4 linked regions of the Solanum lycopersicum genome follow. The protein of the gene in region 2 binds, or shares a complex with, the protein of the main gene of each other region. Links are inferred from orthologs where the notes say so. Each region holds a gene or a part of one and is shown on either strand. Other genes may lie near its edges. The genes, in order: transcription initiation factor TFIID subunit 10, transcription initiation factor TFIID subunit 15, transcription initiation factor TFIID subunit 5 and transcription initiation factor TFIID subunit 11.

Region 1 (8,331 bases), on a different chromosome or scaffold from region 2:
GTCAATAATATAAAACAATTTTCATAGCAACAAAAGTAAGTGCTATTTTATTTTAGAACTTTCTTAATTAGATGTGGCGAACCATGAAGGGCTCCATATAGATTATCAAATATTCTCTAACCAATATACATTATATTAAAAAAACATATCATCCCCCACTAAAATAAAATAAAATTAAAGTTAGTGACGATTTTCATTTTTTAAAAAGGTATAATTTGTTCACTATGAAAATAAATGTAGCTCAACTTTCTTTTTTTTTTTCCAAAAAAAAAAATAAAATCTATTTACAATTATATATAATATAAAATTATAAGAAGTTCAAATAAAATATTTGCAACTATCCTTACACTGTACAGCTGCCGCTTTTGGCGTTATAACACCAAATAATTATTACCATAAAATCATATAATTTTATATTTGGCCGAATTCATAAACTTATTGAGTTTTCCTCTCATGTATCTTAACTATGTCATTTTTCTATTAAATAATTGAACTATCCATAATTTATTTTTTCTAAACACTGTTGGTTGATTTTGATCGGCTTTTTCTATCATAAATGTTTTCAATTATGTTCGAATTGTAATAATTTTGATTGAAGGAATGAACACAAATAGTGTTAGTCTCATTTGTTTTCTAATGTGTTCAAATGACTTCAAGTAAAAGACAATTATCTTCGAACATTTTCACTATCAATTGGACTGGTGAAATCTGGCACAACATATGTATCAATTATCATCTATCAATATCTCTCACAAATTTGATTCCACATTAAGTCAATAGTGTTTGTTTAAATGGAACAAATTATGGATGGTTCAATAATTTAATAGAAAAATAACATAGTTGAGTTATCCGAGGGAAAAACCCGAACAATTTTAGGAATCTATTTATGCATTTGGTCTTGATATAAACATCATGTGCAAATAAATTTTTATCAATAACCATTTGGCGTAGCAAAATTACTTGCTTTTTGTATTTTTATTTTACGTGGTATAATATGATTTGACATAAAATTTAACAGAAAAAATAACTTAATAATTTTTCAACACTAATTATCAACGTTTAATTATTAATATCATCTCTAAGCTTAGTTGATAAGTATGAGATAATGATACTTTAGTTCATAAAGAATTATAATGATACGATCACTTTACTCCACTAATGACATTTTTAATTCTCTTCTTTGCTCAATGATTATTGCTGCTTTACTCATAAGCTTGAGTGTTTTTCCCACTTAGTATCTATAGCAATAATTCAAACGAAAGATTTGTTTATTTTACCATTAAAACAACGTTGTTAATGAGATGAATGCGATCTTTTTATTTTTTATTAATCGAGTCGAACGAGTTACTAATATACTTTAATATATATTTCGTGAGATTGAAAGCACCTCAAAAAGGCTAAGGATGTCATGGCATTTCTATCTTACTTTTTCATACACCATGTGAAACGAATCCAGATTAATCGAATCACCAAACATCAACATATGAAATGAATATTATTAGTATAAAAAGTACAAAAATTTCCTACATTTAGAGGCTAATTACATTTTACTTCGAAACTTTTCCTAATTACAGAAATTCTAAATTTTTCATTATTCTTAGATACATTCTGTGTTTGTCCGATACATTGCAAATGATACTTTACTTAACGAGAGGATATCCGAATATGAATTTTTATAATTTTTTAAAAACAAGAAATTTCAAAGATAACAATATATCATACTATCTCCGTCCATCTTTTAATTGTCTTAATTTCCTTTTTCAAAGTCAAACGATAATAACTTTAACTAATATTTTACGATATATTTTTACATCACAATGATATGCAAAAAAGAAAATTTGAAATTTATAATAATTTTGGTAAATTTTTTTCTTCTCATTAAATTTTATGATTCCCTATTGATCACTTCACCCTTCTTTTTAACTTACTTTTTCTCTTTTCACTATTCATCCACTAAATTTGTTTCATATAAATACACACATATACCATCTTTGCATTTCTCAAGCCAAGCTAAGTTTTATTTTTCTTATTTTCTTTGTTCTAAAAGTTTAATATTCGTTTCGCTCGCAAAAAATTTAATAAATTTTTCTATCGAAAAAATAAAATATTAGACATTTCATCTTCGAAAATAAAATAAAAATGCGAACAGTAAGTACCTTTACTACTGCTTCTCCATCAGTCTCTCCATCGGCGATTGTTCAAAAATCGCCATGGCATTCGCCGGCGCCGTATCTATTCGCCGGCGTAGCGTCCATGCTAGTGTTAATAACTTTTGCTTTAGTAATCCTAGCTTGTTCTTACTGGAGACGATCCGGCTATCCGAGAGAAAACGGCGATGTAGAATCCGGCGACGGCGAGAAATCGACCGGTGATGTTTTCAAGGCGTCGCCGGTTTTTGAGGAGAAAATAGTTGTGATAATGGCTGGAGATTTGAATCCAACTTTTTTGGCTACGCCTATTTCGAGTAGAGGTAATTCGTTTGGTGCTGGTGATAAAATTGAGAAGAAATTGGAAAAGGAAACTGAAGAATTTGATGATGAGAAGGCGAAAGATGAAGCTATGGATCAAGCTCATGAAGAATCTCAAATCGGCCATTGATGAAGCTACTGAGCTTTGAAAAAAAAAAAACAGAGCAATTTTCTCTATTTTTTTTTTTGAGTTCTTCCATTTTTGGTTTAATTTTTCAATTTTGAGATTCGGGAAATTGTACTCAATTTTGGTTGAGATAACAAAGAGTTAGAAAAAATTTTCGTTTTCGAGTAATATGTTTTCACGGAAATTGTTACTTCGATTTGATACGTGTTTTATTAGCTAACGATAATCATAAGAGTCATTTTGCTAAAAAATAAATAGATCGTTTTTAAATTTTTCAATGAAAAAAGTAAAATTGATGATATATTTTTAATATAATGAATGAAAAGAGTAGAATCAATTATATATCGATTTAGAAAATGAATTATTTGAAGAATCTCGAATGTATGTGCATATGTGACGTTTGCGATTTTATATCTATTGTGATTTACTAATTATATTTGATAATTTATAGTAATTAAATATGATTTAAAAATCATGCTTATTCATGCAATTTATAGGTCGTATCTATCGAATATGATATATAGTTAATCTATAAATTGAGTTACTATTAATATGTAATTTATAAATTATATTTATCTAATATAACTTTCAAATGATGCAAATCAAATGTGATATTAGTCATATTTGTGAAACATGATTTATAATCGTGCTTACCAAATCATTCAAGTACCAATTAAGTTACTCAATTGTATTGTAATTAAATTAGTTATCAAATAATATCCAAATTGTTTACTCAATAATAATATAATTCATTTTAATCTTCTATGATAGAGAAGAATAAAATGGCTAACATAAGTGATTATGAGTGTGTGTATATATATATATATATATACTTCAATGTAAATTTTAATTGCGTTTGGTTTGATAGAGAATAAAATAATTTAATTATATTTTTATTTTATAATTTTTTTAAATGTTATGAACTATCAAATTTAAAAAATAAAATAAAATATAATTTTTTTTTTTACGAAATATTATCGTTAGCTAGGTAAATATATATGCCCCTCTTCGCGAACGAATTTCACATAACAAAAATACAATTCTCCTCTATCTTAGGCCTTTTCTCATTTTTTTTCTTTTTTGCACAATTGTGGAGAAACAATTTTGAATTTTAAAAAATAATCAAAATTATAATATTTCTATATCCTAGAAGGAAAATAATATTACTTTTTCAATATGTGAGTTTAAAAATAATTTTTATATATATTTTTAAATATTTTAAATTATCGTAACCATAGTAATTTTACTTACCTATTACTAGAATATTTTTCTTCAGTTTCTTCTTCCGATTTTTTTCTCAAAGTAAAAAGGCACAAATCTTCCCCAATTTTCCTCCGGCGAAATTGAAACTCCGACCACCGCCGATCCTCCGTTGACTCTGTTTCGACGGTGAAGATGAACCAAAGTCAAGGTCAACAAACAAGTGAAGGAAGACACGAGGATGATGCTGTTCTAGCCGATTTCCTTGCTTCCTTGATGGACTATACTCCCACTGTGAGCTACTTTTTGCCCTTTTTCTTACTGAAGAGATCAATTTTATGTTTTATTTATGTAGGTTAACGCTTTTGATCAGATTCCTGATGAATTGGTGGAGCATTACTTGGGTAAAAGTGGATTTCAATGTCCTGATGTTCGATTGTATGTATTTTCTTCCCATTCTTATGTTGATGTTTCTGCAATTTAGCCTGCTTAGATTAGTTATAGAAAAATTGTTTGGATTGCTCATAAGGAAGATATGATTTTCGTGTGTTTATCTAGAACTATTTTCACTAGGTTTATCCTCTGTCTTGAGCTAACCGTAGTCTTTAAACTCGAATACGATGAACGCGCTCCTCAACCTACGTTTATTTTGCTTGGCGTAGCGAAAGCTCTACACTTTTGCCAAGTGAGCTAAGCCCTGGGGGTTCAAAGGGAGATATTATGTTACTGCAGCAAACAAATAAATTGGGCAAAGGTGCCCATATAATGATGTAAAATCCAGCTTGGGAGGATGTCCTCCCAAGATATTTCCTTCAACGAAGTAATAGAAAACTTAGCTGAATTATGTGCTAGTTTTGTTTAGACTTCTCGGAATATGAACAAAGTCTACATGATCAAGCAAGCTCTTAGCTTCCAAATGTCTTCACAAGTCACCTCTATCTCCCATGAGGTAGTTAACTTTTTCCTGAATCATAATCAATAACACTCTTTGCTTCCAATAGGATTCTCACATCCTTCCAATTGTTCCTGATTGTACGTTCAAGAGCCACTCTTAAAGCAAGTGCTTCAACAGTCATAGCTTTTCCCGCAAACTGGATTGGGGAAACATGGGCATGAATCAGTTTTCCAAGGCTTTCCAGAGCTGCAACACCAATATTTGCCAGTCCAGTATCCACCTGTAAACCTGCATCAGTAAACAATAATATAACATCTTGGTGGGTTGTTGGTGGAGCCGCAAGGCAATACCCATTTTTATGAAAATTAGATGAGCAATTAGCTGAATATCTTTATACTCGTAGCAATCAAACAGTGACTAAGCGGCAGTATTCTCTAGTTCCGTTTTTGTTTTGATCGTTTTCTATTTATCTGGTTTAGCAGTAAATTCAAGTAAAATTTATATATCTGTGAATTGGATTGGTATTTACCTTTTTACAAGTTGTAAATTTTAATATTGTAGCATTTGATGTTTTGTTTGACAGTGATGGCTGGTTTATCTTATGTTATCAGTTTTTAATACTGTGTTGTTGTATTGAGTTTTTCCTTTGGATATGCAGAATAAGGTTGGTGGCAGTTGCTACTCAGAAGTTTATTGCAGATGTGGCTACTGATGCTCTCCAGTATGTTTCTTAATTATTTTATTTTTCTTGAATTCTGTTTCCTCCTCCATCTTATGTTAAGTATGCTGCTAATTCTTCGGCATATTGCTCATCGATTGTCCCCTACTCTTGAGGCTTCAATGCAATTGTTGCCTGTCTAGGTGTTTGTCATTGTATGATCCTTCCAACTTTTAAGTGTTCAAGTTGTTCTCCTCCCCCAAACCTTAAAAAAACTCTTTTTGGTTCGTCTCTAATGAATTAGAAACATTAAGTTGGTAATTTTAGAATCCAAGCCTGTTATATTTTTAAAGACTGCCGACCCTAACTTGACTACACTACCAAAAATACAACACCTGAAATTCTCTATTGTTAGCGCAATAATACTACTACCTCAGGAGATTATTGTGTCTGTGACACTCCAAAACCTTAGAAAAGAGACAAAGAAACAGAAAAATACAATATAAAGAAACTAAGATATGACTTGAGTAGACATGTAGAAAGACCTTGTTTCAGAATATATGATTACAAATAACAAAGCATCCAACTTTCTCTGAACTTCCTTTCTTAATGTTTCCAATGGATTGTTATTTTCCTAATGCTTCTACTGGATTGTGGTAGATCTTCTCAACTGTGACAAATCAGTTGTGTTTTGTTTCGTTATCGACTCAAGATTTTGTGAATGCCTCACTTTACTCACTATTTTGCCTTCACTAGTCGTAATGAAAGTAAAACTCATGAAATGCTGTGAGTCTTTTGAGGATAGATTATGGCTTTATCATCGGAAGAAAGAATAAGAGTTTATGAATGGTCTCTTATGTATCCTTCATGTTTAGAAAGAAATGGATATTTATGAAACGGGCCATTCCAATAGAGAAACAACATAATGCCAGTGGTTGAAAGCAGGCAGGTCGATGAAAGTTAGGATATATCAGGAGCAAGGGGTATCTCCATTGGTATTCTGTGTAGAGACTAGAAATATGGTTGAGACAACAAGATGGCAGTGGTTGAAGGAAGGAAAGTTGATGACTTGTGGGTAGACCAGGATAAAGACACCCTCATTTTTTGTGTTGAGACAAAATATAGTTGAATTTTGAAATTCTTGTTAATGTCTTGGAAACCGAGCTTATATTAGATTAACTTTCTTATTTTTCATGGTAATGCAGACATTGCAAGGCAAGGCAGTCAACTATTGTCAAGGACAAGAGAGATAAGCAGCAAAAGGTGCTTCACTTTTTTCTCTTTTCATTTTCTTATGTTTATTGGTTCTAACTCTGTTTTAGCAGGACAAACGCCTTACCTTGACAATGGATGATCTTTCAAAATCTCTACGAGAGGTAATCATTCTTTGCTGGCCTATCAAAAAATAATAAAAAGTTATTCATCATTATAATTTCATCTTATTTATTCTATAAATAGTCTGCTGTATAATGCTTTTGACCAATCGAGTGGTCCATCCTTGTAGAACCTCTCTTGTTTCTTCTTCTCCAAAAGGCTGTTCTTGCGTTGCCAATATTTTTATCACTTCAGCGATACTTTTTGCATATGAGTGTTCTCCGTAACCTTTGATTTGCATTGCAGTATGGTGTTAACGTCAAACATCAAGACTACTTTGCTGATAGCCCGTCTGCCGGGTTAGATCCTGCTTCAAGAGAGGAATGATGTAATGCCTGCTAACAAATCTCTGTGATCACATAAATCTGATGGTTTTAGGTCATTGCGTTGTTGTCATCCTCTTGATTTCTCAAAAGCTATATATCTGTTGGAGGATACAACTCTTGACTACTATGTATCTCTATACTTACCAATGTTAACTGTAGTTGCCACCATTGATAGATTTCTCGTTTCGATATTCCTTTCATGGTAGCAATGAGGGTGATGTTGATAACTGGTTTGAATGTTTAAATTTGCTTTGAACTTGTTGATGAATGTGCTCTACATGTTTGGTTGTGTCTATTTCTGATGGAATACACTATTGTGGTAGCTGAAACATGACGGCTACACGAGTAGCTCTGGCTGAATATTTTATGTATCGTGAACGACACTTCAATAAATGATCCTTCCAAACAAGGTAATGAGCTTATCGCGAAATGTCTCTTCTATTTGCATCGAAATGAAGACCATTCACCAAAATGAGCATCAATATCCATCATCATAGTGAACAAAATGCAATATTCACAATATTCACAAAATAGCAAGTTAATATTTACTCCTTTTTTGGAAATTTCTAAAGGATCTATAGCAGTTGCAGTCTACAAAAACATAAACGATAAAATCCATTACAGAAGTTAAAAAATTGTCTAAAGACTATCTATGAAGCCTTCACTATATAACGCGCAAGCATCAAACTTACAATCGTTTGCACCACAACTAAACGAAGAGATTTAACCTTTCCCTTCTCATACCGTGGGCGCTAGTCCACCATGAACACAAACACTTGATAAGTAATTGCTAGGTTTTCAGGTGAATGAACGATACGCTCCAGTCTTTCCAGTAGATCCTTTATTACCTAGCAAAAAAAAACCCAGTAAGAACGATCTAGTTACTGGAGCAACGGGAAGCATGGATTGCACCATCGTATTTGAGGGGAACCATTAAAGGATGGAACGGGGGAGGTCCCGATCCTTTTACAGGTGCAAGCGAGATCTAGTGTTGTTTCCTGCAATATCTTCAAGGAAAAAAATCCATGTCTAATAGAACATGATGTGGGGTGGTGATGGTGGTGGAGGATTTCAATTGAAGTACTTACCTAATTGTCATAGAAGCGGGAACGTCTTCTCCGAGAACTGTGCCACAAAGGAAGCATGAAAAAAGATAAGAAGTTGTGAATCAGATTGAACATTAACAACATTAGACACTATCAACAAGAATATATCTAGCGTAATCCCACGAGCGGGGTCAGAGGAGGGTGGTGTGTACGCAGCTCTACCCCTACCTTGTGAAG
Region 2 (8,035 bases):
CAATATCTAACTAGTGATCCAGTCAGAATCTGATGCATTTGCCGATTCCCACAACTCTGCTAGTAAAAGAGTTGAACTACCTTTAATAAGGATAAATATGCTTCCAAATAGTAGTTTCTATTAGTTATTAGTGATTTTAGGAGTCCACTGGTCCTCCTTGCCACATATGGTATTGATACTTTAGTTTTCATCTTTGAGTCTCCAAAGCCATTTGATTAGTAAGCTTTTGTTTTGAAGCCTGTTGTTCTGGTTATGGTGCATGTTTTTGTCAATGTTTAGCATGTCTTGCACTGTATTGTTCTCCATTTTTGAGCTATTGCAATGCTGGAACAAAGAGAGCAGGCTGTGCAAGAAATCCCCAAATACTTGGAATAGCATTCCTTGAGCCATTTGGTGGACTATATGGCTTGAAAGAAATAGCAGATTTTTTCTTAGGCAACTGAAGAATCAGACATACCCTTAAACAAAACTGTATACTTTTTTCGATCTTTTTAGTGCAAACTGGTTATTGAACATGATGAAGATGCTAGCCTAGATGCAATAGTGGATATGCTCAATGCCTCAAATCTCAATCTTTAGTTACATTTTGTGGCACTGACTTAGTGCAAGTACTTATAACATCATTGATAAGGAAAAAAATAGTGCGGGAGAGATATGAAGGATCATATAGCCAATACTAATTAGTTTGGGATGAAGACGTAGTTGATTGATTGATAAATCAGAGTTCCTGATAATTTTCTCAACTTGTTGCAAAAATTAACAGGCATCGACATGTGAAGGTCCCTAGTAGTGTTCTCAAATTGGGTATACTCGAAAGTATTGTATTCTACACGTGCTTTTAGCCCATTGACCTGAAATTCTATACTCATAAAGGACAATAACTACTTAGCTCTTTCCTTAATGTATTACAAGATTGCAGTAAGAAAACATTAACCAATTTCCAGCTGTTTTGGAAAATTTACTGCCAAGTGGCATTTGTCTCTAATCCCACCACTTAAAAGTTGGCTTCGTCCCAACTTCCTCCCTACACCCTATCTTATATAAAAAAAATTTCTTTAGTTATCTCTTCATTTCTTCTGGTTTGGTCCTTTGACTTGCACATACTCTGGTGCTTTTCTCAGTTTAATATGATTTGCCTGTAGTTACTTTTAAGGACAGGGGAACTGTGGCAGGACTAATACTAGGTTGTTGCTTTATGCAGTTCTTGGGGTTTTTATTGTGTCATTGGATTTGATGAAATTGGAGCATAAATGGCAAGCTATTCAGGGAAAGGATCTACATTAAATGGTTCTGTGTATGTCTGTAACTTGCCCCTTGGTACAGATGAAGATATGCTAGCTGAATATTTTGGCACAATAGGGGTGCTAAAGGTATGGTTGTGAACAGGTACTTCTAATTATGTTCGAGAATGTTTGTTATATGCTCTCTCCCACTTCCCCCTACTCTGCTTTGAACAGATCACTTTGATTTTTTTATTCTTTTCTAAGGATTTGTTTTGCTTCATGTTGTAGAAAGACAAACGAAGCGGTAGGCCCAAGATATGGTTATACCGTGATAAAGTTACTAATGAGCCCAAAGGCGATGCCACAGTCACATATGAAGACCCTCATGCTGCATTAGCTGCTGTTGAATGGTTCAATAACAAGGATTTTCATGGGTCAATGATTGGGGTATTTATTGCAGAGTCTAAGAACAAAGACGAGGCTTCCTATGTTTCAGTGAATCAAATTAGTGAGCCCAATCTGAACAGTGGTCTGGCTGTGCTGGATGAAGGCTCCAACGATATAGATGGAGGTGGCGGAAGAGGTAGGGGCAGGGGAGATGCTTCTGCAAAGGCATGGCAACAAGATGGTGACTGGCTGTGTCCAAATACAAGGTCTGTGATATGATCATTGGTGAGCAGCTCGTTCGTGCTCTACTGTATCTTCTTCAATTGTCTGTTTTTACTTCGAGTAGTCCAATATGTTTTTGTGCTTACAGTATTTGTAATTAATGTATAGCAGTTGCACTAATGTGAACTTTGCATTTCGTGGAGTTTGCAACCGCTGTGGAACTGCTCGGCCTGCTGGTGCTGGTGGCGGTGGGGCTGGAGCTGCTGGTCGCGGGAGAGGACGTGGTAGCCAGGACCCAGGCGCTCCTGGTCGTGCAGTTGGTGGTCCTCCAGGCCTCTTTGGTCCAAATGATTGGGCTTGTCCGATGTAAGAATCTTCATTTTCATTTTGCAACCTATTTTATTGAAATATGATACTCCCTATCCCAATTTATGAGACACATAACGGATTTCGACATTCAAACAAGTTTAGCTTTGACCGGAATTTTTTCATATACCTTTTAAATATTTTAAAATTGTCAATTATTGTAACTAATAGTACTTTCTACGTAGTTTACAAATGTATAAATTTCATTTTAAAAAAAATTGAAGATTCCATGAGCAAATTCTTGGTATAACTTAAACTGGTTGAATCTCAAAAAATGAAATGCGTCACATAAATTGGGACAGAGGGAGTATAATTTTTCACCCGTAAACTGCCTGAGCATATTCCCTGCACGCACTTCCATTTTCCTTATACCTTATCATAGAAAAACCATTCCGAGCATAATCAGACTTTGTATTCTCCTTATTGCACTAATCTTGAAGTTAGTCTAGTCTTCAGGTATCTGGTAGGTTTAAATTTGTGTTCTCCTATAAAGGCGTGCTTGTTAGAAATAGATACGGTTGGGTTTTACTGTACTCCTCTTTTTTTGGGTAAGTGACTTACCAGTACCTTTAACAACTACATTGGCTTTACTTGGATGTTGGGTACCTTCCCTAGATTACTTGGATGTTCTTTACCTAGTCGAAGATGACTCAAATATAAGTAATAGCTGGAGTCTTGTTGTCAGGGACTTGGTTTTGGTGTGATTCTTTTGTTTATGAGAGTGTACGGGTGGGTGCAGTTTTTGCCCAGAATATTTTTACCAAAACCTTTTAGATTGAAGAAACAAAATCCATCCGAGAAATGTAGGAATTGTTAACTCTGTCATTTTGCTTTAGTCTAGTTGTTTTAGTTGACTTTTAATCTCCAAGTATTTCATTCTACTTGAAAGCGATTCCAAGGTATAGAAAAGACCAATAAAGCTAGCAAATAGAAAATGTGCGTTGTTCAAGATCAGACAAACCAAGTGATTCTACTTCTGTTTTTTTCTCTTAATTCTTTATTATTACTTTAGTGTAAAATCAACCCTCAAGCGCCTACCAGGTAAAGGAATCTCAGCTATGTGACAAGTCAGCTCTTTGTGTTTAAATGATACACAAGGAATGAGGTTGGAGGGTTAAATGGAACAGGGTTGAGATGGATTGCTAAGATGAAAAGACAAAAATTGGGGCAAGTTAGAGGGGTTTCTATGTATTTGTCCTTGTATGACCATTAGAATCGTACTTGTCATTCTGAATTCAGTGTCACAGTGTCCAATATCATTTTAACTAGTCTGGAATGAATTGTTAATTGTTATTGATTGGCATTTATTATGTTTCCCTTTTTTAATAGGTTGACATTTTGCTATTTGTCTTTGACCTATTGTTCAGGTGTGCCAACATTAACTGGGCTAAGAGGAACAAGTGTAACATATGCAACACCAACAAGCCTGGGCACAATGAGGGTGGTGTGAGGTATGAATTACAGGATGCAGCATTGAATGCTTATTTAGATCTCTTAGAAGTGCTGTTGTTGTTTCCTGTTACCTCCTTTTTTTTAAAATGGAAGTGCCGCTGTTGTTTTCTGAGAAGCGCTCCCCTCTCCCGTTTTCCTTGTTGCTCTGCAACAATAGGATTTTAAAAGATGTTGCATTCCTAGCAACTGGAAAAGGAACAGAGGTGCACAAGACATGATGCTAGGTGGCACTTAATGTTGACGTTGGCTGTTGAAGCTACTGGTGATTTAGATTAATGTGCTACATGAATATTATCCAAGGAAAACTTCCTTATTTAGGATCTTGTGTATGGGACATGCTCATCAAGAAAAGTATAGCTGCATTATAGGCTTGTAATTGCAAAATTATTGTTTTTGTCAATCTTTTAGTCTTGTTATAATCATTAAGGGCAGGAAAACACATGGAAGCCACCCACCCTCACCCACACAAATTGCTGACATAGTTTTTTAATATAATTTATCGTTGCCTTTTATGGTTAGTAAGCATGTACTAAGTTTAATTTGATGTATTAAATAGTGTTTCTCTTAGGTATTAACTATGATCTACTTTTATTGTACTCTTCAGAGGAGGACGTGCTGGAGGTTATAAAGAACTCGATGAAGAAGAAATAGAGGAAACTAGACGTCGGAGGAGAGAGGCTGAAGAAGTAAGATAAAAATTGCAGAAGTTTATGAGTTCTATAGCTTATCCTGGGTATCATTCTGCTTCTGACTTTCTGGTGAAATCTTCATCTCAATTATAGGATGATGGTGAAATGTATGACGAGTTTGGAAATCTGAAGAAGAAGTTTCGCGCTAAAACACAGCGAGCAGAAGCAGCCCAGAGCCTCCCCCCTGGAGTAGGACGCGCTGGATGGGAAGCTGAGGAATTAGGTGAGGACAATAGTTTTGTTACATGTGTTGTCCATAATGCAGAATTTATGGTTTTATGCATCTTGCATTATTTCTCTTAAATGCAATATCTAGTGAGTCGAACTGTTTCATCTAGTAGACACTAGATCTACTAGATTGCTTAGATTGATCCTAGTCATCCTGTTTTGGGATCGATGAGCTGCTTTAGTCCTGAGCTTTAAAAGATTTCATAACGGAGTGCTGAGTGTTCTTGTGAGGTGTAATTAATCGAAGACCTACATGATCCTGATTCCGAGCACTCTTTAATTTTGCAGGGGTGGCGGAGCGAGATAGAAAGGAAAGAAGCAGAGAAAGATCAAGAGATTATGATGATAGGGAGAGAGCTAGGCATCGAAGCAGAAGTCGGGAAAGGGATAGGGGAAGAGATAGAGACCGCTCCTACGACTATGATCGAGACAGAGAATATGGTCGTGACCGCGACCGTGAGCGGAACAAGTATCGTCATTGAAGATTGCATGCGACCATTCCATCAAATATGGTATTCATCAAACTTTGTTTGTCTCATGTTTTTGTATGGGTGGCTACTCGTATGGCACCTTCTTAAGGTTGCTTCATTTCTGTCAGATTCATATGTCGACTTTTCGACTTAATCTTGGTCATTTTTTTTCACTCATATGTTGAATATTTGACGTGCATTTCGCAGCGTCTTTTGCCTTATTTGTACGTCCCTTTCTTTCTTTTTCTAAGGAGGCTATCACAATCTTTTCCTGTGCATCTTTAATTTCTTTCCATAGTTGAACTGTTAAGAGATTCTAGAATCAGTTTACTATACTCCTTGAAAATATGGAGGTAAGGGTGTGCTCTAGTGGTTGATGAAGTTGATTGAGGATCATGTGGTCTTAGGTTTATCCCAATAGAGACCACGCTAGATTCTTATCATTTGTTCTAGCCTTGGTGGACATAGTTACTCTACGCTTGTTGCTAGTGCTAGATATTTAGTGAAATTAATTAAGGTAAGCGAAAATTGACATGGATACGATTATGACGTGTGGGGGGGGGGGGGGGATCCATGTTCGATTGGGTCAATCAATTTTGGGTAGTTTGACCAAAATTAAGGGGGAAGTCTGGACAGTTCTAATAATTTGTAATTAATACAAAGCTAAGGTGAAGTGAAGAAAGGAATACCTTTTATATAGAAAATTTTATGGCGCTCATTTTCCTTTAATTTGCTTTCTTGATTCACCTGAAATTTTCCACATAATATCTGTGTGCAAGATATAGTGTATGACCTGCAACTGGGTACACTAGAAGTTTTCCTTCATAGTCTATGTTTGATAAATCTATTTTGACATTTTTAATTATTTTTTGATGAATTTTCACTCGCATTCATACATGGATTTATACCCATACCGAGTCCAAGCAACTTAGACATAAACACACATCCAAATTTGGCCTTAGCTCGTAGGTGAGCATTCCTATGTTGAGAGTATACATCTAAACACGTCAGGTTGGTCTTAATTGTTAAGTTATACTTTTAGGGGCTGTTTAGTTATTGGTTAGAGTTATGCAGGGGTTAATTATGCAGATATTAGTGATGTAGAAATTACAATATATGAATTAGGCTTAAGTCATTGACAATTCTTTAAAATTAGTCGCATAATTTACTTAGTCACTTTAACTAGGACTTGTACCTATTGAACACTTCTATCTATTTGGATTTAAGCCTTTTGAACACTTCTTTTGACGATCAACTAAAAGTATAAAATGTGTGTAATATGTAATGATGTGGAAAATTGTCAAATCAATGACATACATGTGGCATTTGGGGGAGGGGGGACGGGGGGAGAGAAAAATTGAAGTTATCAATCAAGCTACAGTTCAAGCAACTTTGTGTAATGTCTGATGAGGCCTTGAGAATTTTCACGAAGAGATAAATTTACTTTCAACCACAGTTGCCATCACCATAGCCTTCATCACCTTCAAATCCTCTTAATCCAATAAAAAAATTTCAGATCTGTTTTTTTTAGTTGAAAATAGCAAATTACATTTGATAAAAATTAAATTGCATTAACCTACAAAATATGAACCACTTATAATTTTAGATACCAATAAAATCATGACTACATAATCATCTAAGCAAAACATGGAGAAAGGAGGAAGGAGAGGTTATTTTTTTTTTTATTTTAAATCTGATTTATAAGATATATTTTTCAATAAGAAAAAAAGAATTGAAGAAGAAACATTGTAGTCATCGTGTGAGTCTCTATTTTTTTTTCCCGTAAATAAGATCGCAGTATCCAACAGACTTAAAGAAAGGTGGGGATGGTGGTGGTGATAACATCGGCGGCAACAATGGAGATGATATTGATTTCGATAGAAGTTATGGCTAAGGAAGAAGGAAAGAGATTTTTTTTAGAGAAAAACTAAAAATATGAGAGAAAAACTAAAAATATGATCTGATGCATTGAGTGAATGTGTATTACACCTTCCTTGTCATGTCAGCGAAAAATATCATATAGGTACTTATTCTGAACAATAAAAGTGTAATATGTACTAATCTTAGTAGAAGTGTTTAAATGAATTATGTCAACTTCAAAGGCCCATAAATGTCTTAAGTCAATTATTAACTTTTGAATATTAAACTTGTTGCAAATTATTAATATATATTATTTACAAATAATAATACATGCTAATAGAATGTGGAACATATAATGCTAATATTTGATTAGCATATGTACCATCAAAAAATATACAATCAAATTTTTAATATAAAAAATATTTATATTTGCATAAATAAATAAAAATTGTAAATACATTTTTAAAATAAAAATAAAAATGATCTAGATATAAAATGAAATACAAACGTAGATAAAAAACAGTAAAATTTTCAATTAAAAAAATAAATCAAATCAAAAGAAATAAAAATGATTCTATAAACGTAGATAGGAAAACGATTATGTTTCCAATAAAATAAAATAATAGGATAAATATGTAATTTATTATTTTAATACATGTATAATTAATATCCACATAACTTATTTCATTTTTTACCCTGCATAACTTTATATATAGATTCCTTCATAACTTATGTTGATATTAAATATGTAAGACTACAAAAAAATTTAATTAAACATCGTATAAATTAATACATTATAACTGTTATACAACATTAAAATTCTATCAACCAAATATGGTATAAGTTATGTTGACTTTTATACCTAATACAAAACTTTTACTAAACATAATAAATCTAATGCAACTTTTTATATATGAATAAGGTGTATCTTATACGGTAACCAAACGACCCCTTACTCATTACCATTGTGTCTCGTGCTCATCAAATGTTGGCGTGATACATAAATTTTGAAGATTCTAGTTGATCCTGACACAATAGAGATGAATTGAATTGTTTAAATATATCTCATAAACTAAATTTAAGTGTATTATATATTATGCTTTCTTTAAACTTTTACAAATTTACACAAACTACGCAA
Region 3 (8,354 bases), on a different chromosome or scaffold from region 2:
ATGATTTAATTTTTTAAAATTTTATTTCTTGACTTATAGAAGAAATATGCATGTTTAACAGTGTGTTATATGTATTTGCCACAAAAAAAATAGTATAATGTTATATATAATTTTATTTTTGTAAAATGATTGTAGAAATACAGGAGAATAAAAACAATTACAATTATTCTCTAACTTGTAAACACTTGCAAGTTCGACATAAAATTATCACTGGGTGTTGCTAGTTCAAATACAATACTTAGGTCCATTTTTACATGATTTCAAAATAATAATATAAAAATAGAATTATATTGATTTAAACTTGAAATTTTATTTAGATATGCAAGTTGGATTTCTCAAACATGAAAGTCCCACGATTTTCCAAAACTATCCTAACATCTCAATCCATTTTTACTTGTCTACTATATTAAAAGTAATTGTCTAACAATATTTGATCGATTTGAAAATTAAGAGATAATTTACCTTTTTTAAAAAAAATATTTTACCTTTACTATTAAATTTTTTTCAACATTTAATATATTTTTCAAAGTATTAAATTTTATATTCAAATGGTAATGTAGTATTATTACTCATGTTATATATTATTTCTAAATGTTTATATCAAGTCAATAGTAGATAACTATTGTTTGACAGAATGAGTATTATTAAAATTAACAGAATTATAGTTCATAAATAAGGTATCAAAGTATCCTAAGACGCCGCAGTAATAATCTCATGTCTCCACGTACGATGATTACATGTTATTACAAACTTTTAGATACATGTAATTTACAAAGATTCACTAGTTAACCTAAGTAGTAACTGAATACTCCATATGTCCCTAATTATTTGTTCACTTTCCTTTTTTTAGTTGTTCCTAATTATTTGTCTATTTTAACAAATCAAAAAATAAAAATTTATTTTACCTATTATACCTTCAATTAATTTCTTTGAAAAGATAGAATTTCTAGAAAATTTTAAAATTTAATTCATGCATTTCATAATTAATAGGATAAAATGGTAAAATCACTATATTAATAAATATTTTCTTAATAGACGTGTTAATTTAAAAATGAACAATTTAAGTAATTAAGAACGTGGGAAATAAAAAAATATATCTAAATTATCCCTTTTTTTAGTATCACGCGTAAATTATTATAAATGTAAGAAACACACTTAAACTATCACTCGTATGTGTTTGGTGTATGTATAGTGTATTGCACGCACTATCTTTTTTTAACCAAAGAAAAAAAAGTTTGCGACTTTGAAAAAACAATTCCGTTAAATAAGTTTATAAAAGATTAAAATGAAAGTGGGCTGTTGATAAATATAGAAGTAAAAGGATAATATAAGAAGAATGAGGAATAAATTTCTTGTCTTTTACGTTTACGTGCGAAGACTTCTTTTTTTTTTTCATTAATTTTATTTATTTACTAGTATTCTTTATTAATTAAAAAAAATTGACTCTCATTCATCATAATTAACTCTTTAAGTATTTTTATTTTCTCCGGTACTAATTATTAATTTCTTGATATGAGTGTTGCCTGTTTATTCTTTATCAATTAATAAGTATTGAATTATGAACGTAATATAAATATTATCAAGATTATATTTAAATAGTAGCTTTAAAAAAATATATTCCCTTCGTTACATTTTATGTGACACAATTTCCTTTTGGTCAGCCTCCCCTCCCCCCCCCCCTCCCCAAAAAAAGAATCACATTTTCTTATATATGGTAAGTATTTAAATGTATAATTCATTTTTTACTCTTGTTGGTCCCATTTAATTTTAAAGATGGTACATAATACATTTATGAGGAGAGAGAAAATTGAGTTGACTTTTTTGAATGACAATTTAACAAATATTTCAAAGTCTTCATTATTTCTTAAACTATGTGTCCGGTCAAATGTTGTCACATAAAATGGGACGGAGGGAGTACAAGTTTAAAACTGATGAATATTATTATTAGAGTTCTTTTAATTTAACGATTCTTTCAATCCTTACCGACATTCTTGATAAGTAAGATGATTAGATTGAAACTAAAATTTGTATTCTCTTGGTTATATATTTGTAACACGACATAAAGTCAATGGAATATGAATATATTAAGTTAACACTATGTTTATGCAAGCTCAAATTTTGGTGTAAAAAAACTGTTTTTCCTCAAAGTTTCAGCAAATAAGGCCACCAATTCCTAAAAAAGAAATAAAATTTGAATTGTTTAGTTATCGCTGGAGGTTTGCTGATGTATTCGAGATCTATAAGTTTAAGAGATTTTTGTAATTTAATTTGAAAAAAAAATAGAAATAAGATGTAATTAGCTCGTAGTACTATGTAATTCGTGCAACTTTTATAATAAACAATCATTTTATACATTTCCTCAAATAATTATTGTTTAATTATCATCATCATATTTAAGACTTTTGAATTAAATAAAGTCCTTATTTGATTTAAGTAAGAATTTATGATATTTAAACTTCTAAATTAATTACCATTTTACCTTTTATAGTCAAACTTTACCAAAAAAATACAGCTGTTTCGTCTACATCAACATTTTTTTCATTTAGGTTTTGATTCAGGTTGCCTTCTTGCATTTGTTATCATCATCCTTCATTCAGGTTTCGATTCAGGTCTACCCCTTTTGAACAATTTCTTGTGTTTCTATTTCAGTTGAAAATTTGGAGAGAAGAAGCATGTCGCAGCCGCCGAAAAGATCAAATTAAATCTATCATGCAGGACAAATCAAAGGTTTATCTCTTTTCTTTTTCCACCAATCTTTTTCTACGGAAATGGTGGTTCTTTGATTGCCGCAAGATTTACTCCTTTTAAATACATTCGATAGTTTTTCTGCCATTTAAAATGTAACAATATATAACATTATTATCATAGTAATTTTTGTTAATTTGATTATTGCTCTTTTTTCTCTCTCTCTAAATGTTTTCTTAGACTACAAGTATTTGTAATAAATATTTATTTTATTATATTTGATTATAGTTAAAATAAAACAGATAAAAAGATCAAATAAGTAAATGATTTATATACGACGTGGCGTTGAATGCAAATACAAAAGAAAGAGAATGGAATAATAATTGACATTCTTTTTTGGTCAATAGAATTTAAAAGATTAATCATTTTTTTTTTTTTGAATGTGAGGAGTTTCTGATTAGCCAACAATCCACCCTATAAGCACAGTTCATGTTACCATCACTTGATGAAATTTACATTTAAGGCTAGGTGACGCCTTCTTATCACATAAGACTCTGAAAATAAAACTTCCACTTTCTCAATCTCATATCAATACGTTGGGTGTTACTTGTCAATCTTTCCGTTTTTAGATAATACATCCAAAATACTTGAAACTATCTCTCTTTTGGATGACTAGTATATCAAGTCTCACTTCTCCACATCAGCCTCATGCACCACATTGTTAAATTTGTACTTTGAGTATCCAATTTTAGTCATGTCCTCAGCCCGAATCATTCACTGTAAAGTCTATTTATAAATCTCTATGTGAACGTTAACTCCGTCGCTAGTCTCACCAATCAAAATTATATTATCTGCAAATAACATATACTGTGACACCCCACCTTAGATCTGCCATATTAATACATTTTTTAAATATTAATTCTTAGTAGTATTTCAAATATACATGATTATATACTATTGTCTCACCGGTTCACATTAGCATAAAAAAGTTTGCATCTTTTGACTCTAGTTTGTTGTGATAATCTTTGATTTTTGCTTCCGAAGATAAATAAATTTCTCACAAAATAATATATTATGTCCTTAAAAAACTTATTCTTCACTAAGCATATGGGTCCATTTAAAGGGCAAATCTTGTGATTAAGAGAGAAATTGGAGCCTAACCAAAAAAATATAAAACAAAACACCTTCCATAAACAAAGTGACGACGACGTCGTATTAAGTCCCTCCAGAAACCCCAAATCAAAATTCTCGGTCCTATAAACCCCAGGTGTTTTCTTCTTCTTCTTCCCAATTCTCAAAATCTTACCATTTCTCGCCATGGATGAAGAAGAGATTGAGAAAGCAGTCGTAGCGTATTTGAAGAAGAAGGGTTTCAAGCAAACGGAGATTGCTTTTCAAGAAGAACAGCAAGTGAATAAAAACAGTTCTTCTTCAATCCATAATAACAACAACTCAGCAAATTCTCAGATTGACCCCGACTTAACCAAAAAAATCCTTTCTTTCTCTGAGTAAGTTTCTTTTTTCCACTTAATTTGATGTAAAAATTACTGTTTGGCTAAGAGGATTAAGTTCTAAAATCAATTTACCTTGAAAGATAGTTTAATTTCAATGAAACACGTTTAAGTAGAGAAGGATTGAGTACAGAAGATCTGAAAACTAGTTTAGGGTTGAGAGGTGACTTGGTTGTTGGAAGAAAAGCAGGAGCAATATAATTGAAGCAGTTTTTCTGCACCCTCCAGTAGCATTTCTGCAAATGCCCAAATTGACCCTGAACCGTCAGACAAAAATAATCTGTTCTCTGTAGATAACATAAATTTAATTACTGGACCCATTCTAAAGAGGGAGAAATCAGCACTACTTGGTGAAATAGGTTCTTTTTGAATCAATTGTCCTCTTCTCCTGTATTTTAAATGCAGAGTGCTTAGCCATGAGGTTGCGGTTCTAAATAGCATTGACAATGCCCAGAACCACTTTTGAGGTACTAGCACACTGTCTAGGAATTGGAAAGAGAGGATCAAAGGAAATTTGGCGGAAGAATATCCCTGTTTGTATCTGGTGGACGTTATGAAAAAAAAAGGAATGAGAGATATTATGAAGGGAAGGGTAGCAGCACACAGAAGATCAAGATGAGATCTCTTAGTATTATATTTTTTTGGTGTAAGCAAGATTTAGTGGGGACAATAGATAGCTTAGTGGAGATTATAGGCCAACTGTAAATTTTTGAAAGTTTGTTTTTGGATTTTGAGTATGATGGCATCCCCTGGGGTTTGTAAATTCCTCCTCATCAGTCTGATGAGTTCTTTTGTGCGGATTTAAGTTACCTATTTCAAAATAAATAAATAAATAGAGGGGATGTAGAGGAGGATTTATGAGCTGACCCAAAGTCTCAAACTGTTTAGGATTGAGGCTTCATTAGTTGTTTCAAGAAGGGAAGCAACAATAATTGTGTGTTTGGTATGGAGGAAGCTTTGGTGTTATTTTACATTCTATTAGTGACATTACACTTTGGAGCTTCCTACTTTTAGAATATTACAGATATAGATGGATAGATGTTATGGCTCCGTTTTCACACCGCCTTACACTAGCTGGAAGTCTTGACAGCTGTATAACGCATACTTTCTGGTTATTTTCTTAGCATGCATCTTTGATATCATTCTGAATCTAAATTTTTATGTTTTCAGATTTGAAACCAGTCCCCAACGATACCAAGAAGAATATAGCAAACTTCGGTCATGGGCCTATAGTTCACTGGATCTGTATAAGGTTGGTCCCCTGACTTGTGCTAACAGTAACATGAGAAGTAGTTTATGCAGTATCATGATGCATAGCTCCTCATGACATGTAATGCACTAATAATAGGTCTGCCACCAGTAACACCATAGGAAATAAACATAAATGGAAAGGAAAGGCTTTCATTTTCTCTTTTATTTAGCCCTTTTTAATCCTTAACATAATGTATTAGTGATGTGCACCTTGACCTATTAATACTTCTGCTGCTGTCTTTCTGGCAGTGACAAGGTCTTCAAAATTGAGTTCTCATATTTGTGATTCTCAACTCTAGTTCATTGACTTATGCTATAAATGTAGCACCAGTGATGGATTTAGTACTGTCTTCTACCATTGCGATCATAATAGCGAGCCAAAAATAGCTCTTCATAACATAAGCATGACAAGCGTGCCGTCTTCATACAAGTTAGGTTGTGTGATTATACAAGCCAGATGAAAAAGTGATGAAAATGGTTCCATATGTTTGGTAGGTTCAAGTTGGTCCCTTAATACTCTTGAACAATTTTGGTCCTTTAAGTTCACCAAAAGCGAAAACACCCTTTGGGGGGGGGGGCAGTGGTTTGGGCTTGGGGCTTCCATTTTGGAGGTTTCAAGTTCGAAACCCCTTGCTAGCAAAAGCAAGGGTCCAGTTTAGAAAATCAAGAGATAATTTACCTTTTGTGTCCTTTGTTATTAAATACTATTTATCATCTAACACATTTTCCAGAGCATTAAATTTAATAAAGTCAAAGGATAAAATAGTAATGTTACCGCTATTATTTATTGTTTCTTAAGGGTGTGCTAAGTCAATAGTAGACAACTATTGTTGGACCAAGGGAGTAACATCTATAGTTTCAACGTTTGCCAGCTTGCTAATTTTGGTTTATTTTTGGAGGATGGTGCAGCTTTTGAAGTGCAATTTTGCCATCTTTTAATATCTATTGTGTGGTATATGGTTCAATTTTTGGTGTTGCAATTTTCAAGATAGGACAGGACTTTTTGGTGTTTTTGGTTGGATAGTTATTTTGACCATTCCGATGAAGTCTACCCATTCAAGTTCTGTTTAAAAAAAAAAAGGGTCCAACCACTTGAGTTCTGTTTCAAAAAAAAAAGTCTTAACCATCCGAGTTTGTTAAATATTTGTCAGAGACCAAATGCTCACTTTTGGCAAACTTAGAAAACCCAAATTGTTGGGGGGTATATTGAAGGACCACCTTGAACCTATACTCAAACATAAGGAGCCATTTTTTCTCTCTCTCCAAGTTAGACACTTCCTTTTGACTTACTCTTTAATCTTCAAGATTTTGTGGTTTCCTGTAATAGCTGAAGCTACCTTCCATTTATTTTTGTCCATTTCTGTCTACCTTGTCTCAGTCCATTCCAGATTGCCTCTCTCTTTCTATTGGAATTGAAGGATGTGCTGTGTGCATCTGGATTTTCTCCAATTCCAACATAATCTGATATTGATTGAAAAGAGGGAAGTTAAGCTAGCTAACGAAGGGGTTGGGATCCGCCTCGCCCTTAAAGATCCGCCCCTCGTTTCACTCTGAAAATTTATTATCAGCTCCTTCTGTTATTTAGCCATCTCTCTCCATAAAATTCTTTCACGTACATGAAAGTTATTTCATATCCTAGAGAGTGCGGTTGTATTGTCTCTCTAAAGAATCGTAGGATCCATTGGAGATAAAATGAAACAATTTTAAATGCCGAGTGTTCTGTTTCCTTTTTTTCCTTTGGTCGTTTCTCTTTCTGCAGTGCTGTTACTGCTTAGAATACCTTTCGGTTCGCAGAAATGATGTGCAAACTTTGTTGTTTCCAACAGTTTGGCCATTGTATATATTGGGGTTGTTAAGTCTTTCTCTTTTATAGTATGCGTGACTCATTTAAAATCATCTTATATTATGTTGATTATTGTTATCCTCTTTTATTTGTTAGATGAGATTATTGTTATTATTGATTCATCTGAACATATATATATTTCAATCTTGCAGCATGAGTTGCTTCGTGTTTTATATCCTGTATTTATTCATTGTTTCATGGAACTTGTCGCTAGAGGTTATATTCAAGAAGGTATACTTTGTCAGTTATGTTTTGGTTGTATTTTGATATTTGTGAGAGAATTTTTAACACAATTCTTTTATTTCCAGCACGAGCCTTTTTCAATAGTTACCGTGAAGACCATGAGATGACGCATCTGCGTGATCTTCAGAAGTTAGAAGGCGTCCTCTCACCTTCCCATCTAGAGGTACATCAATATCCTAGCAACTGTGTGGATGACCTTTTCCATGCTTAAGTGTGTCATAGATCACTAAACTTATTCCGAAATGCAGGAAATGGAATTTGCTCATTCTATACGGGTGAGCAAAGTGAACATTAAGATGTGTCAGGTATTCTCTTGATCCTTTTGCTTCCTCTGGTTGAATTTTTCTGCTACTATAGTGCACACTAATGTCTCAACTGTGAAAGCCAAGTGTGTCGGGGTTTGTTAGCAATTGGTGACAAATGCATATCGAGTTAGTAGTTACAAAGGAGGAAAAGAAACTAATGTGATATTTCACTTTAGAGTGCATTATCTTTCATTTCCTTCTCTTGACCACTTATTTTGCTGTGGAACTTCAACTTTTTGACAAAAAATCCACCTCTTTCCAAATCTTTTCTTTTGAAGCTGAACTTCTATTAGTTATGTTGATGAAATAGCAAACACTGGTTCATTTTGTAGGTTTGTTGGAATTAACTACAACATTTAGTCTATTGTTCTCATGCCATGGATCTTATCACCATGTATATTAAAGGAACAATCATTTGTCTAATGGTTTTTCTAGTTTGGTGGATTTACGTGCAGTTTGATTACTGTTTTTTGGTCAATATACATGTCTGGCACCATTTGATTACTTTTTACCACG
Region 4 (6,686 bases), on a different chromosome or scaffold from region 2:
TACCAACACCAAAAACTACACAGTTAAGAAACAATTTGTTCAGGATCTTCGTCCTGCCAATCCTTTCGTCAAGGTGAGAGCTCTCTTCCCACCATGGCTGATGCCCCTCGAAATTTACTTCTTTAATGGAACCCCAACATTTCAAAGAGAAGCTAAAGCCTCACCTTGTAAAGGTACACCTCATGAATCTTTTCGTCCAAGATTTACAAGTTCATCCTTACGCCTTTCTGCGAGGAAAGTGGCTGACTACTACAAATCTGAGAGAATGGAGAACAAGGGATGAGAAACATTGTAAAAACTTAAGAGCGTGAACAAATGATTTTGAAAATGAACGACAACGTCCACAGTTAGAATTAAAGAGAAGAACAATCAAACTGATCTGAATTATCTTTTGGTTTCTTTTCTACTTGATAAAGTTTAGGACCGTTGTGATGCCTCCTCCACACAACATGGTGAAGAAGCATTGTTGTCCCGTCACTCCAATTTTCTCTTTCATCCAAGTGCATTGAGAAATTCACAACATGGTCAACAAACTCGACCATGGTCACAATGATGATTTGCCCAAAAATACAATGATGCTGTTATTTTAGCCAAGATGTTGCAATCTTAGTGTTCTCCTTCCATCATTTTCAGTTCCAGGTTACGGGCAGTACAAATATTTTCACAAATGTTAAACTCCTTCCCTCTAATTAAGTAATTTAATTAACAGATTAACCCCATATATAATAGGCAATGCAAAAGTGTCCTAACTCGACAACTTTGTGACTAGCAATGTTTACTTGACCTGGAAGTGCAAGATAATTAAGGATTTGCGACAATTCAACATAGACACATTAGAGGACTTGTAAGCAATAGGAAGACAATGAACCTGAAATATAACTACAGGTTGCTTCCACGTTCACTACCGGAAAAGCCTTGGCACTGATTTTTTTGGAATCTTGCCTTCAAGTTTTAACCTTCTATATGCTTCTCTTATGTGGCATGGCCTGATTGGGCCAGTATCTTTTCTCTCTGCCATCACCATTTTAGCTGCAAAAGGTATTGTAAGATGAGTGAGCACCATTACTTGGAGAAAATCAATGCAGTATAGCCCTTCAACTTTATTTAACTGAGGACACTTCCACCTTGAAACACTAAAGATTGGCAACTCTTTACTGCATAATTAGACTGGAAATTGGTTAAACGTGTTCACCTAGGTTTACGAAATATTCAGTTGATTCTATCGATCTTTTGAAGAAGGGAAAGGAAAAGCAGAGAAACAATGTGACAGTGAGCTTTTACAGGTAGAGGGTAACAGAGACCACTAGGAACAAAGGAGGGCAGTGCCTGGGCCAACACTGAGGCAGGAGAGTCATTTTATTGTTCTTGCTAAAAAGTCCTATGTTTTCCCTAGTTATAGTGCCAAACATCCTTAACCAGTCAGACACGTCAAATGCAATTTCAGACACATTGGCGGGTGCTTACTTAGCATAGGTACGATGTGTGAGTACATAGAAGACATTTTAGAGCCACTCTTTTGTTACTTTAAAGGGGTAAAGTGTTCCAAATGAATGTTAACCAACATGCTCAGTAACGGATAATATTACTGGTCTTGGGCTTTTAATGCCTCATTGTTGCAAATTGGTCAGAAACTGATTATAGTTTGGCAAATATTTTGGAGCTGTGCACTAGTGTCTAAGAATAGAACGAAAATAAGATCATTCCAACGACAAGTCATCCTTGCTATTCCCAAATAAAGGATAAACGTTTGCTTCATCAATTATCTCTATAACAAGTGGATCTGTCTATTTACCTGTTTCAATAAGCTCACCGACAAACATTTTTGCTATCCCAGACACCACAATTGTCATAGGAATAGATATCTTTGCACTTCCTGTGATGTTGGTCAGCAACTGCATCGACAACACACAAGAGTCACGACAAAAAATAAATTATGCACAATAAATGATCAGACTGGAAAAGCAAATATCTCAATGGCCCTAAGGCTTGCACAAGATCCTCACATATTCACAAAGATTTGGCTTCATTCTCAATCATCTGACAGTTACGCGTCTATTGAGAAAATGAATTCTAACATTACATGTGTGCAATGAAAGACAAAAAGAATGTGCTTCAATAGGCTAATGTTAGGGATTGGTCCAATATCACGTAACAAGGCCATCTCAAGTCAAACAACAACAATATACCCAATCTGGGAAAGCAAGAACTGAAAATTACAAACCAAAACTTTAAAACTATACAAAAGAAAATGAAACCCCACCACAGCATTTCTCATGGGTCTCCTCAGAACTCCCAGAAGCTTCTTTTTCAGATACAGCAGAAGCTATCTAAGACACTACTCTAGCATCTCTTTTATCCTGTTTCCACTTCAACCCAGATTATAAAAGTCCATTCATGATGTGATTCCTCAGAAAGAAAGTACTTCTAAGACAGACCCTATTGGCACTAACACTCCCCAATACAAAAGAAGGGTTGTAAGGCACTGAAGCCATAGGAACAGCCGAGCAAAGGTCAAAAATCCTGGTTACTACAAGGCCATTAGCTAAACTATTTGAGAAAGATCCAAAAGGATTTTGGTGGTACTATGAATATATTTACTGTGGTTTTTGTTTGTTTGTGTGTATGTGGATAAAGGGTTGATTGGGAAGAGAGAAGTTGGGGCAAGAATTATTCAGGGTTCATGTAGAAAAAAAAAAGATTGGAGAAAAGGGTTTAAGGGGGATGGCAGAGGTTTCTGGAAGTAAACATACAATTGGGAGTTTCCCATCTTAACTCAAACAAATCATATCAAATTATGTATGGAAAAGTACAAGAGAAGACAAGTTAACATCTCAATGGCCACAAGATCACAATAAAGGGACAAGATTATTCTATTCACATGTATTTTCAACAATTTTCTATCATGTTCTTGTTCTGATATTATATTTTTACTGAAAAACAACACTATTTGCTTAAATGGCTAAATGTTAGGTACAGAAGAAATCCAAGAGAAAAAAGCCCTATTAATTCAAAACAAATCAAACCAAAACTAGCATGAGGCTGCAGTAAGAGAATTTCCAAATAGAAGTCCTCTCATACAGGAGAGTAAGAGATTAGGAAAATTACTATATCAGGAAATTTGTGAGTATCAGACATGAATACATCGTGAGTATCAGCGATGAATACAAGGAAATTGATGTGGTTTACTGGGTATAGGGTTTTATCTCAGACACCAGTCTATCATCTACATTCCATTTCTTGAAAAGGGCAGCTGAGTTCACCAAGCTCCCACTATGCACAGGGCCGGGGCAAGGCCGGACCATATTGATTGGAAAGCCACACTAGAGGATCAGTTGATAGAGAAATTTCTGCCCATTTTCTCAGTATAACCTTTTTTGCCAACTCCCTTCCCAGCTCAAGCAAACAAAAAGCAACACGCACATGAATAACGAAACAAACACAACAGACAAGCTACAGTAGAGGAGAAAACAACTCTGACATCATCTATAGTACTTTGTCTATAATAGTACAGATCATATTCAGAACATGCAAAAAGCAGGAAAAAGATGATAAAATGGGTAGGATGGCAAAACATACCCGCTTCATGTTGGATTTCTGAAATCCAGATCTCCTAAAAGATTCATATCTACTCATCTGCTCCTCTGTAAATTGGGATAAGATGGACCTGAAAGAGAAGATAACAAAGTGAACTAATAGTTATTGGACTGATGTAGCTGTGGGGTATGGTCACTGCCTCTGCAGAGAGCGTCTAACTAGATCTAGCTCAAATCCAAAGTTAAATCTTCTACAGTAACAGGAGAAGCCACCCAGGTGAGGGCTACACAACCATCCTTTTTTAATAAAGTCCTGCTTTGTTTGGATATAGCTATTCGACAGCTGTGTGTGAGACAACAACATACCCAGTGTAATCCCAGAAGTGGGGTTAAGGAAGGGTGATGTGTACAAGTTCACCCCTACCTTGAGAAGGTACAGAGACTCTTTCTAATAGACCCTCGGCTCAAGTACGACTATTTTGGTGCGAGTTGCCCATCCCTTAATAGGGAGGTACTGGTGGTACATAGCAGCCACCACTGATCGGGTATAAGAGAAAAATGGCAAATGGTTTTTCTATTTTCTAGTGGAAGTAGGAGATACAGCTAAAGAAAGGGCTAGGCTGCAGCAATTCAAGCATCTAAAAATACATATGTGATAATTGCTTCATATCAGAGATTCTACTTTACTTGTGAATGACATCTGAAATCACAACCTTCAACTCCCATAGCTTCATAATTATTCTCTTGTTTTTTTTTCTTCTTTTGGGATGAAAGCATCCATCACCCTATAACTGTTATTGAAACAGGAGACATTTCGGGTTCGAATGACGAGGAATATTTTGAAAATGTATGTTGCACCAGAGAAGTTCGATCTCTTTTTATGCTTTCACATATTTGGAAGGAATGGGAAATAGATAGCAAATAAAGTTTGACAACATAGAATAACAAGTACGAGACTTGAGAAGCCAAATGTCTACCTCCCTTCACCTACCTTACCTCAAAAGGAATTTTACCTCTTTTCTTGTAGTGTCATAGAACCTCTATTAATACCAGGTAGAGCGCTGCTGATTATAGGATAGAAAAATATTCTAAACTGAGCTCACGTAAAAACGAGGTGCAGACCCTAGATAGGAAGGCCTGGAGGTCGAGCATTAGAGTAGAAATTTAGTAGGTAGCCGCGTGTGGTCGCCCGTTTGGTGGGAGAGGCAATGCCATATCCTCTTCTCCTTATTAGTAGTAGTATTTAGTAACTCGCATAGTTTCTTATTTTTCTATGTGTTTCTACTATTTGTTGCTTCATTTTGCTATGTGTCCTGATATTTTGTTTTCATGTTTTCTTATTGCAACCCTTCAATGAATAGCTTCCCTTTTAAGCCAGGGATGTATCCAAACAACCTCTCTATCCCACAAAGGTAGGGGTAGGGTCTCCGTGCATCTTACCCTCCCAGAACCCACTTATGGGATTATACTAGGTATATTGTTGTTTAACAAGGAGGTGCAGAAGAAAAACTTTAGCATAACAAGTATATATATAACTGCAATGTACAATTCCCATTTTATTGGCCTTGACCACAATATGGTTTCTTCCATACTAAATTAGTTATTCTCCATATTGCCCTTACTTAACAATGCTGATACAAAATGTCAATTTATTATTTAACAGCTACTATATTTCCTACTGGTGTTTATCTGCAGTAAATCAAGCATATCAAGCTAGATGAGATCTGTTCACAGATCTCAATAGAAGCATTGACCTGCTGGTTATATATACATACTTTTTGTTAAAAAAAAAATGATACAGCAGATATACTGAGGGAATACAGCATACAAAAGAGAGTTAAATTAATAGTCTGAGTAACAAATCAACAAGGAAAGAAAGGAAGGTGAGAGGAAGGGATAGAAATCATCAGAAAAGGAGTTATTCTTTTATGCAAATTGATCAGTAGGCAGGTCCAACCACCCACATAAGCTATCACAGAACAGGATAATAGCATACAATCTTGACAATCTTCTGTGAATGGAATCCTTGTAAACAGAAAGAGTTCGAGATATTTGAAAACATAAACTGACAAACTTACTGCATCTTCGCCAGTTTGTCAGGATCACTACTTGATGAGAGTTTTCCTAACTGCACATCCATGCTTTCTTCCTCTTCCTCCTCATCTTCCTCTTTGGGTTTGCTAATTGGACCAGCAGTACTAACAGAGACTGATGTAGCTTTAGATGTTGAAGGTTTTTCACGAGAATCGGTATTAACATCGTCACCTTCATTCATATTAACACCAACTGCACCTTGATCTTGGCCTTCATTCTCATCGGTTCCAGCAGGGGATTCAGGGGGTGAGTCATCCTGCTCCTCAAAAGTAGCCTCAAAAGGATCCTTAGATCGCTTCATAGAATTCGCTGCACCAGAATGTTTAGATTCAAGTAAATTATTCACCATGCTAATCATTCATCCATTTTGATTGAGATATACCAACTTCCAACACAATAATGTGATATGTTCAAGACAATTTTTTAGGGAGGCATGGTAAATTATAACTAGATTGATTTGGACCTCACAAAATGGCCACACTCTCCAACCAGGTCGATTGATAAATTAATGGAGTTGAACTGATGCAGCTCAGATATTCTCAAATCAAATGATCATTGCAAGGATGAAAAAGATTAAAGCATTCGGAAGGAAGGAAAGTAAAGATAAGGATGAAGCAACAATGTCAAAGAAACATTGTTGAAGTTTGAACTAGAAGCTACACCATCCTTCAATATGTCTAGATTAAGATAAAAATGAAATATAGAAGACAAATACTGTACTATTTCATGTTATCAGTTTCAACAAAAAAACAATGTACTATTTCAAGTGAGACCAAAAGGTTAAGTAGTTGTCTACTTGCGCTGGTACATTTTTTGTTATATAACTGCAGTTATTGCCCTGTTAAATTTTCATCAACGAAGCAATGATAAGATATCCTCTCTTCTTTTTCATAACCGATAGGATCCTGCAGTCTGTTGTGGTGTATAATGGGCTCATTCCTTTACCCTTCCCACTTAAATACCAGGCTTTTCCAACAAAAGGGTTTGAACACGTAACTTACGCCTAACCACCACATCACTCAATAACCAAAGCCCTGGTGGGTATACAAAGACATCCTC

The links.
Region 1: transcription initiation factor TFIID subunit 15 (region 2) and transcription initiation factor TFIID subunit 10 share a complex: the UniProt entries of both Arabidopsis thaliana proteins name them as parts of the TFIID complex. The link is inferred for Solanum lycopersicum from reciprocal best matches to the Arabidopsis thaliana genes TAF15 and TAFII15.
Region 3: transcription initiation factor TFIID subunit 15 (region 2) and transcription initiation factor TFIID subunit 5 share a complex: the UniProt entries of both Arabidopsis thaliana proteins name them as parts of the TFIID complex. The link is inferred for Solanum lycopersicum from reciprocal best matches to the Arabidopsis thaliana genes TAF15 and TAF5.
Region 4: transcription initiation factor TFIID subunit 15 (region 2) and transcription initiation factor TFIID subunit 11 share a complex: the UniProt entries of both Arabidopsis thaliana proteins name them as parts of the TFIID complex. The link is inferred for Solanum lycopersicum from reciprocal best matches to the Arabidopsis thaliana genes TAF15 and TAF11.

The regions. Positions count from the first base shown.
Region 1 is NC_090811.1:67,583,678-67,592,008, reverse strand, and holds transcription initiation factor TFIID subunit 10, read left to right. Parts: upstream 1-3,618; 5' UTR 3,619-3,990; coding exon 3,991-4,089; intron 4,090-4,168; coding exon 4,169-4,233; intron 4,234-5,348; coding exon 5,349-5,411; intron 5,412-6,553; coding exon 6,554-6,611; intron 6,612-6,673; coding exon 6,674-6,724; intron 6,725-6,968; coding exon 6,969-7,049; 3' UTR 7,050-7,316; downstream 7,317-8,331. Other genes in the region: protein GLUTAMINE DUMPER 2, read left to right, coding at 2,140-2,598; uncharacterized protein, read right to left, coding at 8,137-8,173. UniProt on the Arabidopsis thaliana protein: TAFs are components of the transcription factor IID (TFIID) complex that is essential for mediating regulation of RNA polymerase transcription.
Region 2 is NC_090810.1:45,841,188-45,849,222, forward strand, and holds the end of transcription initiation factor TFIID subunit 15, read left to right. Parts: intron 1-1,201; 5' UTR 1,202-1,250; coding exon 1,251-1,370; exon of another isoform or gene 1,371-1,386; intron 1,387-1,511; coding exon 1,512-1,876; intron 1,877-2,000; coding exon 2,001-2,198; intron 2,199-3,565; coding exon 3,566-3,649; intron 3,650-4,254; coding exon 4,255-4,336; intron 4,337-4,432; coding exon 4,433-4,562; intron 4,563-4,855; coding exon 4,856-5,049; 3' UTR 5,050-5,287; downstream 5,288-8,035. UniProt on the Arabidopsis thaliana protein: TAFs are components of the transcription factor IID (TFIID) complex that is essential for mediating regulation of RNA polymerase transcription.
Region 3 is NC_090805.1:43,574,423-43,582,776, forward strand, and holds the start of transcription initiation factor TFIID subunit 5, read left to right. Parts: upstream 1-3,652; 5' UTR 3,653-4,002; coding exon 4,003-4,193; intron 4,194-5,366; coding exon 5,367-5,448; intron 5,449-7,442; coding exon 7,443-7,521; intron 7,522-7,598; coding exon 7,599-7,696; intron 7,697-7,781; coding exon 7,782-7,838; intron 7,839-8,354. UniProt on the Arabidopsis thaliana protein: TAFs are components of the transcription factor IID (TFIID) complex that is essential for mediating regulation of RNA polymerase transcription.
Region 4 is NC_090804.1:5,056,628-5,063,313, forward strand, and holds part of transcription initiation factor TFIID subunit 11, read right to left. Parts: intron 5,937-6,686; 5' UTR 5,929-5,936; coding exon 5,612-5,928; intron 3,665-5,611; coding exon 3,577-3,664; intron 1,893-3,576; coding exon 1,793-1,892; intron 1,030-1,792; coding exon 902-1,029; 3' UTR 869-901; exon of another isoform or gene 540-868; intron 258-539; 3' UTR 1-257. UniProt on the Arabidopsis thaliana protein: TAFs are components of the transcription factor IID (TFIID) complex that is essential for mediating regulation of RNA polymerase transcription.